Linked DNA regions of Rhinolophus ferrumequinum. The protein of the gene in region 1 interacts with the protein of each later gene in a pairwise test. Links are inferred from orthologs where the notes say so. Each region holds a gene or a part of one and is shown on either strand. Other genes may lie near its edges. The genes, in order: TOP1 and BTBD2.

Region 1 (8,203 bases):
ACATGCTATCCTTTATCCCAAAGCACTTGTCATAGTAAGTGGCGATTCCTTGTTCTCATGTCTGTCCCACCTGTCAGGCCCTTGAAGGCAGGGACTTTGTCTAATTCTCTGTTGAATCCCTAGCACAAGGCATAGTACTTGGCCCATGGTGTGTGTGTGTGTGTATGTGTGATGTAGAGAAGCCATTGAAGGGGCAGATGCAATGAGAACCTTGGGGAAGGACACAGACTCTCAGAGGTAGCAGCCATGACAGGGATACGGAGGACAGGAGCAACTCAAGAGGCTCCAAGGCTTTGAGCCAGTGTGACTGGGAGCGGGTAGATCTATTCACCAAGCAAAGATGGTAGAAGGGAAAGGTAGGTTCAAGGACAAACTTGAACTCAGGAGCAGAGGAATGTGAGGGCCATCAAGTAGACCTACGCATTGGGCAGAGGGGTAGATATTTCTGTGTCTCCAAAAAGAAGTCAAGGCTAGAGACATCCATTTGAGAGGCTGTATCTACAGAAGTCAATAGAGAATCCATAAAGCTTCCAAGAGGAGGGTGTAGAGAGAGAAGGTGGATGAGATAAGCTTTGGGAATGCTTACATTGTGCCGGAAGAAGAGGAGGAGGCAGAAAAAATGGCTTTTGCAGAGGTAGGAGGAAAACCAAGAGAATTCGTGGTCATTGGAGTCAAATGAAAAGGACCCAAGGAATGCCCCTATCCACATCACTAAGTGCTGCAGAAAGGTGGAGGAGAATAAGGCTACTCTATTTGGAAACTGGGCAGTCTCTGATTAGCCTGGAAGTCACAGGTGGCCAGTTGGCTCAACGGTTGGAGCGCGGTGCTCATAACACCAAGGTTGCCGATTCGATTCCCACATGGACCAGTGAGCTGTGCCCTCCACAATTAGACTGAAAACAACAACTTGACTTGGAGCTGAGCTGCGGCCCCCACAACTAGATTGAAAAAAGCAACAAATAAATGACTTGACATGGAGCTGATGGGTCTTGGAAAAACACGCTTCCCCAATATTCCTCAATAAAAAAATAAGAAGAAGAATGGAAGCTACATCAACTGTGATCAAAAGATAGCACATTAGACAGGAAAGGCAGCACATGTGACTATCCTTTCCAAATATTTCAAAGAAGGTGAGGGAAACTGGCTGAAGGACAATTTGGGAGGCAGCACAGACATTCAGAGACCGGGCTCCACAGTCAAACTGCTTGGGTTCAAATCATAGCCCCAACACTCAATAGCTGTGTGACTTTGGGCAAGTTAACTTAGTCTTCTTACATCTCAGTTTTCTGGTCTGTAAAATGGTGGAACTAGTAGTACCTGCTTCATATGGTTATTGTGAAATACTGTAGGTGAAGCACTTAGGACAAGGCAGAGCTCGTGGTAGGTAATCAATTAATGTGAAGTGTTATTTTTAATAAGGTCAAGGGGGGACATTGGGAGAGGGAGCGAGTGCTGAAGTTGCTATGCAGGAGGAAGAGAAGAGGCTGGCGTAAGCCTGGCTCCGGGGAGGTGAAGAGGACGGGATTAAGGCCTCAGAGGGCTTGTTGGGGATACAAGGAGGTAGATCTTTTCAAAACCTGAACTTGGCTAATCTGTCACCTGCTGGTTATTAAGTGAGTCTGTGACTTCTGTTCCATTTTCTTAGGGAGTCATGCTGAGTCAGCTTGGGGTTTCTCTCACTCCCAGAATTTTCCAGTATTTCTTGGAGTCTCAATTCCTGCTTCTTTGCTTCCCCTGCCCACTGGTTCTCGAGGTGAAGGCAGCTGGATCTGAGTAGCAGCAGGACATGCTAGCAGCATACCCTGTGAAAGGGAGATTCAGAGAGAGCTGCTGTCATAACTTGTCCTTGGGCTGTACCCTGGACACCGGACAATATCCTCTGTCCCCTTGACAGTCTGCATCTGCACAGTAATTCCATGGTTAGTGATGCTTCTGTAATACCTGTAATGGTCTCCATGGGCTTCCTGACGAATCTGCCCGTCTCCAGTGTGAGCTCTGCTGCCCATGGTTGTCCTCAGACCTGCTCGAAACCCTGGCAGAGCTCACCCTGCAGCAGCTGCTCTCCTTCTCTGGTGTATCCTCACAGTTCCCTCTGCTCTATCCTGACCAAAGCTATTCACGCCCGTGACTCGGCCTTTGCATCGGTTACTCTTCTTCTTGCAGTGTCTTGCTTTTCTTTCCACAGGCCATTCTTTCCAGAATAGCATCGAACTAGAAGCCTTTGCTAATATTGCCCCCGCCACCACCACTGGTGAGTTGGATGTGCCTCCTCCATCCCAGTGTTACCATAGCAACTGGTAGCTGGCCACCTCTTCCCTGTTATTCCTTGTACCTTATGGTAGCAGTTGGGGAATGTCTGTGTTGTTATCAGACTAGGAGCTCCTCTAAAATGATGATTAGGTCTTATTAAAATCTGTATCCACAGGGTAGATAGCACCTATCAACCACAATAGTTCCCACTCCCTCATTCCTCAGGGGATACGGGTGGAATAAATAAACGTCCTCATCACAGAAAGGATGTCTTCTGAAAGGAAGACAGAAGTACATGAAAGTGGACTCCCCTCCTTGCCCCAGGCCACATGGCCAGGCTCCTACATCCTTGTTGCCTGTGCTCTTATTCCATGACTCAAGGGTCGCCAGCTTTCCTGCTGGTTCTCTTCTTTTCATTTTACAGATCTCAACCTTTGCTCAGCTGTTTAATTACCAGCAGGCAAAGGGTGTTTCTGGTTGTTACTGGGGTTGCCAGCCTGATTCCCCTTTCTGGGGTGTCAAACAGGTTCTTTTCTGAGGGTGTCCAAATCTCAAAAGAGCGGCAGGTCCTTAGGCAAGGTACCACAGGAAGGGAGAACCACCAGAAGACACTGCTGCCCCCAAACTGGCAAAGCAGAGACTGTGCCAGTATCCAGGGTCTAAATGCCAGGAGGGGCGTCCAGGTGTCATAACATGAGAGACGGGGCAGGGCCACAGGAGTAATAGAAGCCTTGAGACTGCCCGGGAATCAAGTGTAACTTAGAATTGAGTGTCATTTAGCGCTCTTGGTCTTAAGCGACACATCAGAACTCCATTAAGCAAAGTGGGGGATTTATTTAAAGGCACAGGAACAGGAGTGAAATAAGGCTTCAGGGGATACTACCTAGCCACCAGGACCCTGAACTCCATCAGGGCCTTCTGTTCTCTTTTTTCCTTCACTTGCTGATCGCACATCTCTTCTGTAGGCTCTGTTGCTGAGTGCTGAGGATCAAGTGCTAACTAAGCAAGATCCCCACCCTTCAGTAAGGGAGGCAGACACAAAAATCACTAATCACCCCCATTAATAAATTGTAATAAATGTTACAAAGGCAAAGGACACTCCATGAGGGGCACTTTAGCTGGGTGTAGGGGGGTGTCCCTTTGAGAAAGTGATATTAAGGTTGAATTTTGAAGTATTCACAAAGATTAACCCCAAAGTGTTTACTACTAGATGTGATAGAAATGATTTCGATGGTCCATGGATGAACACTTTCTGTATTTATTTGTAAATGATTTCATAGACATTCTTTCATAGATATTATTATTTAGGATGAAGAAGGAGAGTGATTCAAATAAGTAACAATACCAGTGGAAGTGGTAATAGATATGGCAAAATTCACAACAGTCACACTTGAATTAAGCATGTTATGCTGGGCCTTGGTGGCCGCTGTAAGAATTTTGAACTTTATGCTAAGTGACGGGAAGTATTGTGGGAAGGTATAATGGTTAGATCTGTGTGTTGAAAAGATCACTTTGGGTACTGTTGGCCAGCAGTTTGTGAGAGGGCCAGAACAGAAGCAGGCACCCCTGTGAGGAGTATATTTTAATAATCTAAGCAAGAAATAATGCCTACTTGGACAGGTGTGTGGGCAGGGGAGAAAGGTAGACAGGTTGAAAAGGTGCAATCAGCTGGACTAATGAGAAATGAGGGAGCGGAAGCTGTCCAGGGTGGAGCTTTTCTAGCTGGGCGGAGGAGGAGGAAGATGGTGAGTTCAGCCCTGGAGAAGCTTGAGAGGTATCCAAGTGTAGATGTCAGGTAGGTGGTTGTAGGTCACTTATCTCTGACACAGTTTATCTTTAGTAAAATAGGTGACCTCACAGAGCGAGTGTGAATATTCTGACTGGAGTATGTTCAGCACAGATGTTCCATACACGGCAGTTCTGTTCCCCTTTGCCCCACAGCATGTTAGTGATCCAGCGGTAGACAGAGCCAAGTCGTGTTTACCCCGAGGTCTGGTTCCCTTTGGCCCCTTGCGCCTCCTCCCCCTTTCTCAGCACCGTTCCTGGCTCACATCAGATGCTCAATGTAGAAGGAACGAGTGAAATTAGGCCTCTGGAGGTGACCCAGGGTTACATATACCCAGCCGAAAACTAGAGCTGAACCAGACCTTGGGTTAGTTGTAAAATGCAAATAAATTTTAGGAAATGGGCAGGAAATAAGACAGAAGTTGGAAGGCCTGGACAAAGGCTGGGGCGGAGGCTCCCCTCCGGCAAAGCGGTTTCGGGGTTTGGTTGGCGAGCGAGGAATCGCTGGTGAGAGCTCTGGGGCCTCGGCCGCCAAGGTAGCGGCAGATCCCGGGAGACGCAGGAGCAGAACACCAGCTCCGCCTGGGCCTGGTCCCGCCGCCGCCTTTAAAGGCCCACCACGTGGCCGCGCTACCAGCCCGGGTTCGGAGGCGGTGTCCAGACTGCGCCTGCGTTCTGCGTAGCAGAGGCGACCTGGGTTCCGAGAAAAGGAGCGGGGAGAGGAAGGGGAGGATGCTCGGGGTAGGCGGCCTTGGGAGGAGTCAGCTCCCTATGCAAATCCTAGCGTCGCGCGTGGGCTGGGGGCGGGGCTTTCGATGCAAAGCCAGGTCCGCCTTTGGAAACGCGAGGGGGCGGGCCCCGCAACCCTCGGCTTCTTTCTGGGAGGCTCTGACGTCGCCGACGTCCCGTTTAAAACCGGCGGCGCAGGCGCAGTGAGCCGAAATGCGAACTTAGGCTGTTACACAACTGCTGGGGTCTGCTCTCGCCGCCCGCCTGGCAGTCAGTAAGCGTCGCCGCCGCTGTCGCTGCCTCTGCGGTTCCGGGAGTGTCAGACTCGCCGCCGCCGCCGCCGCTCACCCGCGTTCCCGGGAGCCCCCGAGAGCTCCCGTCCCCCCGCACAGGCCGGTCCCGACGGTCTGCGTCTCCTCGGCGCCCCTTGCCGCCCGCCTCGCTCGGCGCTCCGGCAGACATGAGTGGGGACCATCTCCACAACGATTCCCAGGTACAACCCGACCTCCTGGCCCCGCCTTGGCCCTCCGCGACCCCGGCCACGGCCCTGCCGCCTTGACAGGCCGGAGCCCCCGGCCAGGGGCGGCCGGCCAGAGGAGATCAGCTTGCTAGGCCCCGGGCGAAAGCCCCGAAGTTACAGTTTGGGGGGGATGGCTGCCTCTTCGGGCCGTTCCCGGGGCCCCCTTCATCCCTGGGGGCGCACCGTGGGCTAGGCCGCCGGCCGCGCGCGCTCGCCGCCGGCGGGGTTAATATGCCTGTTGTTTCATATTCCTTCTTTTTCTCTCTCCAGATCGAAGCGGATTTCCGATTGAATGGTGAGTGTGCCCTCCGCTCTGACCCCGGGTCCCCCAGCTGCCGGCCGCCTACCCCGCGCCCGGCCGGAGCCGGGCAGAGGACAGACATGGCGTCCCAGAGACTAAGTCCCGGCTCCTCGCTCACCGGCCCCATTGTTCCCATCGGGCGGCCTCTGGACCCCCTTTCCGGGGATCCCAGCCCCCCCAGATCGCGGCTCTCCCGAGAGGGGGCAACGGAGACCCTATGTCGCTTGCCACCGGGCCTCGGGCAGCCTTTCCCGGCCCGGATTTCTCCCGGGAAAGTCGCCTTGTCGACAGTCGGGACTTAGTCTCTGCGCCATTTTCTTTTTCTCTCTCCTCTCCTTTCTGTGCCTGTGTCTCTTTCTCTCCCTCCCTCGGCTCCTTCCTTGAGCTGCCCAGAAAGAGCTTTCTGCAGAGCAAAGCCATGTAAATCACAGACCTCACCAGAGAGGCAAGGGTGGGAGACTGAATTGTTACTATTTTTTTCCAAAGAGAACTTTATTTTGGGGGTTATTCCCTTTCTGCTTCTTGTTTCCTTTTCTGCTTCCAGAATGAAAGCTACCCTTTGGCAGCTGTTGATTTTTTTTTTTTAAAGTAAGATGTGGGTGATAGGAATTATAGCTCTAAAACTAAAGCCACCCTTTGTTGAGCTCTTCATATTTTGAGATTGTTTTTCCTAAGTTGTGTTCTTTGCATAGGTAGTAGTACCTCCCTTCAAAAAGTTTGCAAGTTCTCTGTGGGCCATCCAATGTAAATCTTGGACTCGGGCATATTAATTACAAAAAAAAAATTATAGTGTTACTGACTAGAACTTTTCAATGTGGCTGAGGTTCCTAAGACAATGTTTTATTAGAACCCCGTGTAGTGTACTTGTCAGGAGGAAAGGTTGCTGAGCATCTCATCTGGACCTGGTGCATTGGCCCTTTCTTTTGGGCTGTGGGGAAGGAAAAAAGGATTTTATTTATTAAAACAAAGAGTGGCCGGCACCCTCCCCTACTTCCTGTTCATTCTTTTTCAGAAGCCGCTGTTTTTCAGGAATCAAGAGCTAGCTTTTCCCAGATCTTTATGCTTTTGAACCCGTTTCAGCCAAATCAAGGCGTTTATTCTCTGAATGTTTCCACTTCAGTTACCCAGCAAAAATTCCTCCAATAAAAAGCTCACTCTGCAGGCTTTTCAGTAACCTGGGTGAAGGAGAAGGTACCCTCTGTAGTGTGCTGGGAATTCCCACTGATTCTGATGGTACATAATCCTACTCAGTTGAGTTTGGGTTCTGGGAACCTCTCCAGTGGGAGAAGCTGATGAGTAGGTTTTCATGTTGTAATCAGCAGTATATCATGTTAGCCTGCTCTACTGAAGGAGCAGCCTGATGTTCAGATTTTGAAGTGGGGCATCCAGCATGAGATGGTACTCTGTGAGGAGGGAATCTGGTTAAAGAAAAGTGTAGCATTTCTTGAGCACCTAATATGTGCCAAACACATGTTTAGTGCTAGAGCAAACCTTCGGCCACAGTGCTGCTCTTGCCTTCAATCCAGTCTACTGGGGGAGATATAATTAGTTAATTATAAGGTAGGTGCCGGGGCATATGTATACCCAAAATGCTTTGGGAGACTAGGGGACTTTAATTTTGTCTGGGGGGTGGGGAAATTTCTCAGGAGGTGACTTCTGAGCTGGGTGTTATGCAAGAATAGGTGCTAAGTGTCAGGGATTGGAGTATTTCTTAACTATGTTTAGCCAACCTGTCAGGATTTTAAGAGAGGGAGATGAGGCTCCTGCAGTAAGAAAACTGCGAAGAGTATAAATATGTTTGCCTGGGATGTGGAAGCAAAGAGAGGATGTGGCAGGTGAGGATGTAAGAAGTCCTTTTGATCTCTCTTGAAGGAAGGTAGGATCTTAATACAGAAAAGAAGTGTTCTTTTGACTTGAAGACTGGGCTGAGTAGGCAATGTATTTAGTAATGAAACAAAGTTTAGGCCATTCTCAGCAAGTTAACCTCCATTCATGGTTTTCATCTCAATTACACAAAGAAACTATTGAATATTTGAATGGTTGTGGGCTGGATAGGTTATTGCTCTTTAGTGCTGTTTTTAATAGACTGAAGTAAACTGGCTATATTGACTTTTAGAATGTGTTTGTTCACGTGGAATAGCAATAATTGCTAATATTTATTGAATCCTGTCTGCCAGGCACAAATCCTAGCTCTTTCCATGGACCATCTAATTTAATTTAACCCTCAGAAGGATTCTTCTGAGTTTTAGGTACTATTATCTCTATTTTATAGATGAGGAAACTGAGGCTTAGGCGTATTTACTAGCTTGCCCAAAGGCAGTGAGTGGGGCACTCCAAAGCTCACAAGCTTAGCTACTGTGCTACCGTGTTTCCCCGAAAATAAGACTTAGCCAGACCATCAGCTCTAATGCATCTTTTGGAGCAAAAATTAATATAAGACCCAGTTTTTTTTACTGTATTGTTTTACTATAATATAAGACTGGGTCTTATGTAATATAAGACCAAGTATTGTATTAATTTTTGCTCCAAAAGACGCATTAGACCTGATGGTCTGGCTAGGTCTTATCTTCCGGGAAACACGGTATATATATGATTCTGATGTAAAGAAGTTGGAAGCT
Region 2 (7,525 bases), on another chromosome or scaffold:
TCTATAGTGATATCCGGCTGTCCCAGCATCATTTATTGACCAGATTGTCCTTTCTCCACTGCTCTGCACTACTTCCTCTATTGTAAATCAACCCTCTAGATGTGAATATGGTCTGTCTTGGGCTCCTGATCTATCTATTCGTCTGTACTTTAGCCCCTTTCTAAATGACTGTAGCTGTTTGAGAAGTCCTGATAGCAGTATTGTGTGTGAAGAGAATCCAGCACGTGTGATGGTTCTGTTCCCCATCAGTGGTACATCTCAGGGTCTCAACACCATCAGTAACTTTGCCTGAATCAATAATTTCATGAAGAGTTCCAAACTCTTGGGCATATCACCTGCTTCACCAGCCTTCGAGCCTGGAAGCCCTCCAACTTCAGAATGAGTTGTGATGCAACCCGGTGGGGCCCAAGCAGGCTGTGTGCATTTTGATCTCAACTTGCCACCATGTACAAATTCCACTGTGGGTGGGTGGCTTCTGGGACTGCTGGGTCTGTTCATAAAATCTCCAGACATTGAATGGCTTCCATTGTTTTCCCTGGTCTCATACAGTGAACTGCTTAGAGCTGACTTCCCCGATCCTCCATTACCAAGTAAGAACTGATAGTTGAAAGCTACCCAGTGAGATGTGTCAGGAGAAAGCACACCAACAGTGACCGTAAACTTAAACAACGGAATCAAAGGAGTAGGGTGGGTTGTGCAGAGACCACAAATTTCTCCCATTCTAATATTGTGCCTCTTTGCAATAGGACTTTGAGGCTCCTCCCATCCAGAGGGGGAGTCTGTCTCTCCACCACTGTGAATCTAGGCATGGCCATGTGACTTGCTTTGACTTATAGAATGTAGCAGAAGTGAGATGTGGGAGTTCTCCTGCCATGATGTAAGGAAGCCAGTGTAGGTTCTTGGAGGCTGGGAGGCTCCATGGAGAACTGAGATCTCCCAGCCCACAGCCAGCATCCATTGCCCAATATGCCAGTGAGGCCACCTTGGACCTTTCAGCCCAGCCCACTTAACCCTCCAGGTGTCTGTGGTCTCATAGGTTACTCTAGGTAAGAGCAACAGAGGAAATGCCCAGCCAACCTACGCATAGAATCATAAAGATGATTGTCCATACACTGTGGTGGGCAGGATAATGGCCCCCAAAGATGTCCACGCCCTAGTCCCCAGAAGCTGTGAATATGTTACATTATATGGCAAAGGGGCTTTGCATATGGGATGAAGTTAAGCATACTGAGATGGGGGAATTATCCTGGATTCCCCAGGGGGCCCAGTGTCATCACAAGGGTCCTTGTAAGAGGGAGGCAGGAGGGTCAGTCAGAGAAAAAGATGTGACCATGGAAGCAGAAATCAAACCAAGGAAAGCAGCCACCTCTAGAAGGTGGAAAAGGCAGGAAATGGTTCTTGCTGGAGCCTCCAGAAGGCACCAGCCCTGCCCACACCTGGGTTTTAGCCCAATGAGACCCATTTCAGACTCCTGACATCCAAAACAGTGCAATAATACATCTATGCTGTTTTAAGCCTCTACATTTGTGAAAATTTGTTACAACAGCTGTAGGAAACTAATACACACCTCCAGAAAGTTCTCTCCTGTCCCTTCCCAGTCAGACCCTCCCTGCCTGCTCTTAGAGTGAAGCGTCTAAATCTGTAGGTGGTTTTGCTCTGTGCTCATAGATAACTGAAACTACTCACCAGGCAACTGTTTATATACATAATCATACAACCTCAGAGCTTATTATAAGGGAGGTGAGCACTCAGTCACTTCCGTGTCTGTTGTTAGCAAGAGGTGTTCAAAGGTGGCCACCAGGGCCAATTGCATCAATTACATGCCTTTAGCCATGAGTAAAAGAAAACCTGACTCTACTTGCTTAACTCCATAAAGATGTTTATTAGCTCAGAGACCAAACAGCCCCAAGCCATGGCAGCCTCTAGGCTCAGGATGATCAAGACAATCAATGTCATTCCAGACCCAGATCCCTTCCCTTTCCCTACTCTGCCATTCAGGGGATCGTTCTGCAGAAACCTGTCCTGGAATCCCCCATCCTGCAGACTTGTCCTCTCACCTCATTGGCCAGGATTGGTCACATGCCTGGTCTGAACCCAGCAGCTGGGCCATCATTGATGCCGCGAGAGCTGCATCTTAGATCTTATTTTCCAACTAGTAGTTATTTTAGATACTGTTTATATGACTATTATGGTCTGGACTTAAATTTTATGTTGACAGATAAAACGAATGAGAAATTACACAAGTTATAGCCAGGATCTTCAGAAACTTAATGTGGTTCACCAGATGATGAAAGAAAATGGTAAAATAACTTACCCTGCAAACCTTTTCTGTATAGGGCCACAGAGTAAATTTTTTGGTTTTGACCGCCATATCATCTCTGAAGCAACTACTCAGATTTGCCTCAGAAGCTGGAAAGCAGCGTAGACAACATGCAAATAAATGGGCATAGCTGCATGTCAATAAAACTTTCTTTAAATCAACAGGTGGTGGGCCGGGTCAGGCATAGTTACTGAGGACACCTGTTAAGGAGTAGTGTTAGAGATGAACTGGAAACAACACTATGAACTCGCAATCTCTAAAACTTCCCATTTCTATCAGACCACTGAAGTAGACTTTAATCAGTTTTCCACCAAAAATTTATGTGCAATATTATGTCCAATATCCAAAACGTGGTCATCAGTACTTTCCCCCACCCCAAGGAATGAGGGCTCTTTGGAGAATAGGTGGTTTTATGTTTCAGGGCAAAGAAGGTACAACATGGGATAGAATCTCTCATCAGCAGGCAAGGATGCTTCTCCAAGTCCCAGGGGTTGTGGAAATAAGCAGAAGCCCAGCTAAAGGTATCCTTCAGCGATAATGATTACAGGGAATTAAAACGACCAGAGTCTGAAGGCCGTGAATCCATTATCCTCAAAAGGCAAGAATCGGGATGTTCATTTTCTCTCTCTTTTTTTTTAATTGGGGAATATTGGGGGAACAGTGTGTTTTTCCAGGACCCATCAGCTCCAAGTCAAGTTTTTTTTTCTTTTTTCAATCTAGTTGTGGAGGGTGCAGCTCATTGGCCCATGTGGGAATCGAACCGGCGAACTGGGTGTTATGAGCACTGTGCTCTAACCAACTGAGCCAGCCAGCCACCCCAGGATGTTCATTCTTTATCGAGTCACTAGTATTATATCCACCCATGATTTTATTCGGATGAACCATTTTTCAGCATTAGCCACATAAAAAGGCTGATATCCTTTTACCAAATGATACATATTCAAGTGATCCCAACTATATGAAAAGACTCTACTCTGTAAAACATGAAGCAAAACAAAACAAAACACACACACACACACACACACACACAAAAGAGACAAAGAATACACTGAAGTGTTAACACTAGCTGTTTATGGATAGCAGGATGACATACGATATTAATTTGCTTTCCTGTGTTTCTCTGGCATTTCCAAGTTCCTGCCTTTATTTTTCATGCACCTATTGTGTGACCGGCTGGAAAGAGTTGAACCAGGATCCGCAGGGCTGTGTCCTGGACGTGGCCCCAAGCTCTGCCCTGTATACCTGTTGAGTCTTGGATGAAAAGAGCATCCCGACGCATTCAGCCACAACTTCCCGGGGCCTCAGTTTGACCCCTCTGTACAGTGGGGTCTCCTCCACTGGGCATGGAGACCATCAGGGCTGGAGGCTAAGGGCTGGGGTCCAGGATCCCAGGTGTGGGGTTTGGACTCTGGGGTCCAAGGCCCAGGACTCAAGGTCTGGGGTAGGGTCTGGATTTGGGATTTGGGGATCTGGGTCAGAGATTGGGCTGTGGGGTCCAGGGAACTGGGTTCAGTGTTTGGGGTTGGGGTCTAATGTGTGAAGTCCGGAATCTGGTGTCTGGAGTTTGGAATCTGGAGCCTGGGCTCTGAGGCCTGAGGTCTGGAATGTAGGATCTGATGTCTGGGTTATGGAGGCTGGGGTGAAGACTGGGATCTGAGGTTTGGGGCCCCTGGGTCTGAGGATCTAGGATCTGGGTCTGGTGATCCGGGATCTAAGGTCCAGTGTCTGGAGCCTAGGTCTGAAGTACCGGGTCTGGGATCTGGGATCTGATGTCTGGGGCCTGCGTCTGAGGATTTAGGATCTGGGGTCCAAGGTCTGAGGTCCCGGACCTGGGGTCCAGGATTCGGGATCCGAGGTTTGGAGTCTCTAAAGTCCGCGGTCTGAAGTAGGAGATCTAGCATGTTGGGTCCTAGGTCTGACGTCTGAGGTCTGTGATCTGGGGCCCGCGGTCTATGGTCTGCGCCGCGCCCTTTCCCTCGTCCCTTCTTCCATCCTCCCTCCCTCTCTCCTCTCCTGCCCCGCAGCCCCTACTTCCGTCCTCCCCGTTCCCCTCCCCTGTCCCCGCTCCTCGTCCTCCGTGACCCCCTCCCTTTTCTCCCCATGCCCTTCCTCTCGCCCCTCCCTCCTCCCTCGCCCCTCCCCTTCCCTCCCTGTCAGCCCCGCCCGCTCCGCCAGCCCCGCCCGCCCCGCGGCGCCGCACCGACAAGATGGCGGCGGGTGGGAGCGGCGGCCGCGCATCGTGCCCGCCGGCGGTCGGTGCGGGCGCGGGGGGCGGCCCGGGTCCCAGTGCCAACGCCGCCCCCGCCCCCGGCAACGCGGCTGCGGCCGCCGGCCCGGTCCCCGCCGCCCCCGGGACGTCCTCTCCGGGCTCAGGGCCGGGCGCACAGGCCGCACCGGGAGGGGAGCGGGCGGCCGAGGAGCCGGGGGCGGCGGCGCTGCTGCGCGAGCCCGTGTACAACTGGCAGGCCACCAAGCCCACGGTGCAGGAGCGCTTCGCCTTCCTCTTCAACAACGAGGTGCTGTGCGACGTGCACTTCCTGGTGGGCAAGGGGCTCGGCGCGCAGCGCATCCCGGCGCACAGGTGGGCCGCGCCCGCTCCCGGGCCCCCGGGCTCCGGGACCCCATCCCCCGGGCCCGCCATCCCTGGACCCCCTTCCCTGGGACCCCGCCATCCTGGTACCCGCCATCCCCGTTATCCGCAGCCCTCGGACCCTCCAGTATCCCAGGGCACCCCCTTCCCCAGGCCCCATTATCTCCGGGCCCTGTGGTCCTGCTGGAGCCCCATCCATCCCGCAGCCCCCAGATACTAGCCATTCCCTGGCCCCTGGACCCCCGCCCGTCCACCGCCATCGGACACCCTCCACCCTGCCACTCTTGCCAGAATCTCCAGGCCCTGCGAACCCCACCAGTTTTCTCCACCCTGGGCCCTGCCATCCTGCCCCATTGACCCCCTCCACTAAGTAACCCGTGCTCTCCAGGCCTGCATGACCCCTACATCCCCACCAGACTCCTGCCTCGCAAACCCAGGACTCCCCAGACTCCCGAACCACATAGCCCCCAGCCCCCTGACTCCCCAGCCCCCTGACTCCCCAGCCCCCTGAACCCGCAGCCCACTGACCCTCCTCCAACCTTCTCACCCTCCTGCCCCTCCCCCAGTCCTTGACACTCCCCAGTCCCTTCACCCCCTAACCCCCAGGCTTCCTCTTCGGGCACTGTTGCTCCAGGCCCCATCCCTCTGCCAGTTTCTAGGGTGCAGCCCCAGACTCCTGGGCTGGGTGAGCTGTTGTCAGACACTGGCCTGCCCACTCCGTGACCCTGCTCCCCGTTGCACCCCAGGGACCTTGGTGGGGAAGGCTCGCTGAGGGCTCCACCCTGGAAGGGGAGGGGGGGGTTCTTGGCTCTGCTTGGAGTGTCCCCCAACCTGCTGTGAGGGTCCTCCCGCCTCTCTGGCCTGTGGCCTTTAACCTGTGTCTTTTGACAGTCTTTGTGGCTTTTTCTTGGTTATTTATGTACAATTGCGTCTGGCTTCCTTTCCGCAGAAGGTTCCAGGCCTGTGGTTGGGTCCCCAGGACCTCCCCTGACTCCTCCTTCCCCGGTGTGTGTGCAGCCCTGTCCCCTGTCACCCATGGGGGCCACCTTCCTAAGCTTGGAGTAGGGGGCTGGTCCGTTTGCCACCTACCAGTCCCTCCTGAACCATCGGCCTCCCTCACCCCTCCCGTTCTCAAACGCTGCTCAGTCCAGTGTGGGCTCTCCTGCCCACCCGACCCCTGACTGGAGCCCTCACCGGGCAGGTGGATACGACTGGAAACCCCACCCAGTGAGGGAACGTCAGGGTTTCTACTTGAGGGGAGCAAGGGAGTTGGTGGGGGCCTCCCTGGATGCCGGCTGACCTTGAGATACATACTCCATCATGCTTCAAGGTCCATTGGCTGGTGGCAAAGTGGGGATAAGAAAGGTGGATGAGAGCACCCCCGGAAAGAAGCAGAAGAGGGGCCTGGCTCTGGTGAGAGGTGGAGGTTAAGTGAGGAAGGATGCGTGTGACATTTAGTGAGAATTTCTGAGTGCAGGAGGGAGACAGGGCCCCGGGTAATGACAGGGCTGACCTGCTCCAGACGGACACCTCTGAGCAAGTGGCACCTCTGAGCAAGTGGCGCTGAGCAGAGCAGGGGAAGGGGAGGGGAGTGCAGGGATGTGAGGCCTGGAGAGCAGAGGGGTGGGCAAGTGGGAGCCACAGCAAGGCCAGAGCAGAGGGAGCAAAGGGCCCTGTGGGCCACAGTGACCTCTTGTGCTTTGAAGGCTGGAATGGGCCACAGACATTACGGGAGATGATGGGCTTAGTGGGGGCAGCAGAATTGGGAAGCAGAGGGTTCAGCTTCTCTGGGGATGGTACTTCTCTGTGATGTGAGGAGGTAGCTTGGCAGGTGAGGGAAAATGGGACCAGGCGGAAGTTCCTGGACTCCTGGCTTGAGCATCCCAGGGGAGGACAGGCATGGAAGTACATGTTGTGTGGGGGGGGCTGAGACACCCCAGAGAGATGGCTGGAAACAGTATGACCAGAGGGACGTGTGACGGGTCGGCAGCATGCAGGGGTCCGTACTGGTGGGAGTGTGTGGGGTAGCCTGGGGGCAGCGTGTGGACAAAAGGGCGCTTAGGAATGGCAGCAAGGAGCCACCCCGAAATGGGGTATGGGGTGCAGGCTCTTCTGGGTGTGGGGGTGCGTGCCTGCACCCCAACGTTCACCATCAGACTGGCCCACCTCTGGACCTGTCACTTTCTTGTGCTTGTAGCTTCATGAGTCCCATGTCCCCTGATGGCGCTCTGCCTGGTTCCCTTAGCACACCTCGCAGGTCCCTGCACCCATCAGTTGTCTCCCTGTGTGCTTAATGTCCAGAGAGTGTCTGGGGCCAGGCTGATGGCACTTTTCTTGTCCCATTTCCCTGGTGTTGATGCCCTACTCTGGATCCCCCAATAGAAGGTTCAAATTCTTTTTATTTTTAGCCTTTGGGTTATAATTTCATATGAATTGTGAAAAATTTACCTGTAATGGTCAGGTGGATGACTGTCCAGTGAGTGACCCTGGGTTTGCTGTGTCTCAGTTTCCCTGCCTGTGGACTGGGACATACCACTCAGACGCCTCAGTCCTGGGGCTGCTGGGAAGATCGACTCCATGACTCAGGGCTCCTCCAGAGGACCAGGAGCTTAGAT

The links.
Region 2: the proteins of TOP1 (region 1) and BTBD2 interact in a two-hybrid assay, tested with the Homo sapiens proteins (2 studies listed by BioGRID). The link is inferred for Rhinolophus ferrumequinum from reciprocal best matches to the Homo sapiens genes TOP1 and BTBD2.

What each region holds. Positions count from the first base shown.
Region 1 is NC_046306.1:15,753,797-15,761,999, reverse strand, and holds the start of TOP1 (DNA topoisomerase 1), read left to right. Parts: upstream 1-4,955; 5' UTR 4,956-5,224; coding exon 5,225-5,257; intron 5,258-5,554; coding exon 5,555-5,579; intron 5,580-8,203. UniProt on the Homo sapiens protein: Releases the supercoiling and torsional tension of DNA introduced during the DNA replication and transcription by transiently cleaving and rejoining one strand of the DNA duplex.
Region 2 is NC_046301.1:61,199,986-61,207,510, forward strand, and holds the start of BTBD2 (BTB/POZ domain-containing protein 2), read left to right. Parts: upstream 1-4,518; 5' UTR 4,519-4,527; coding exon 4,528-4,901; intron 4,902-7,525.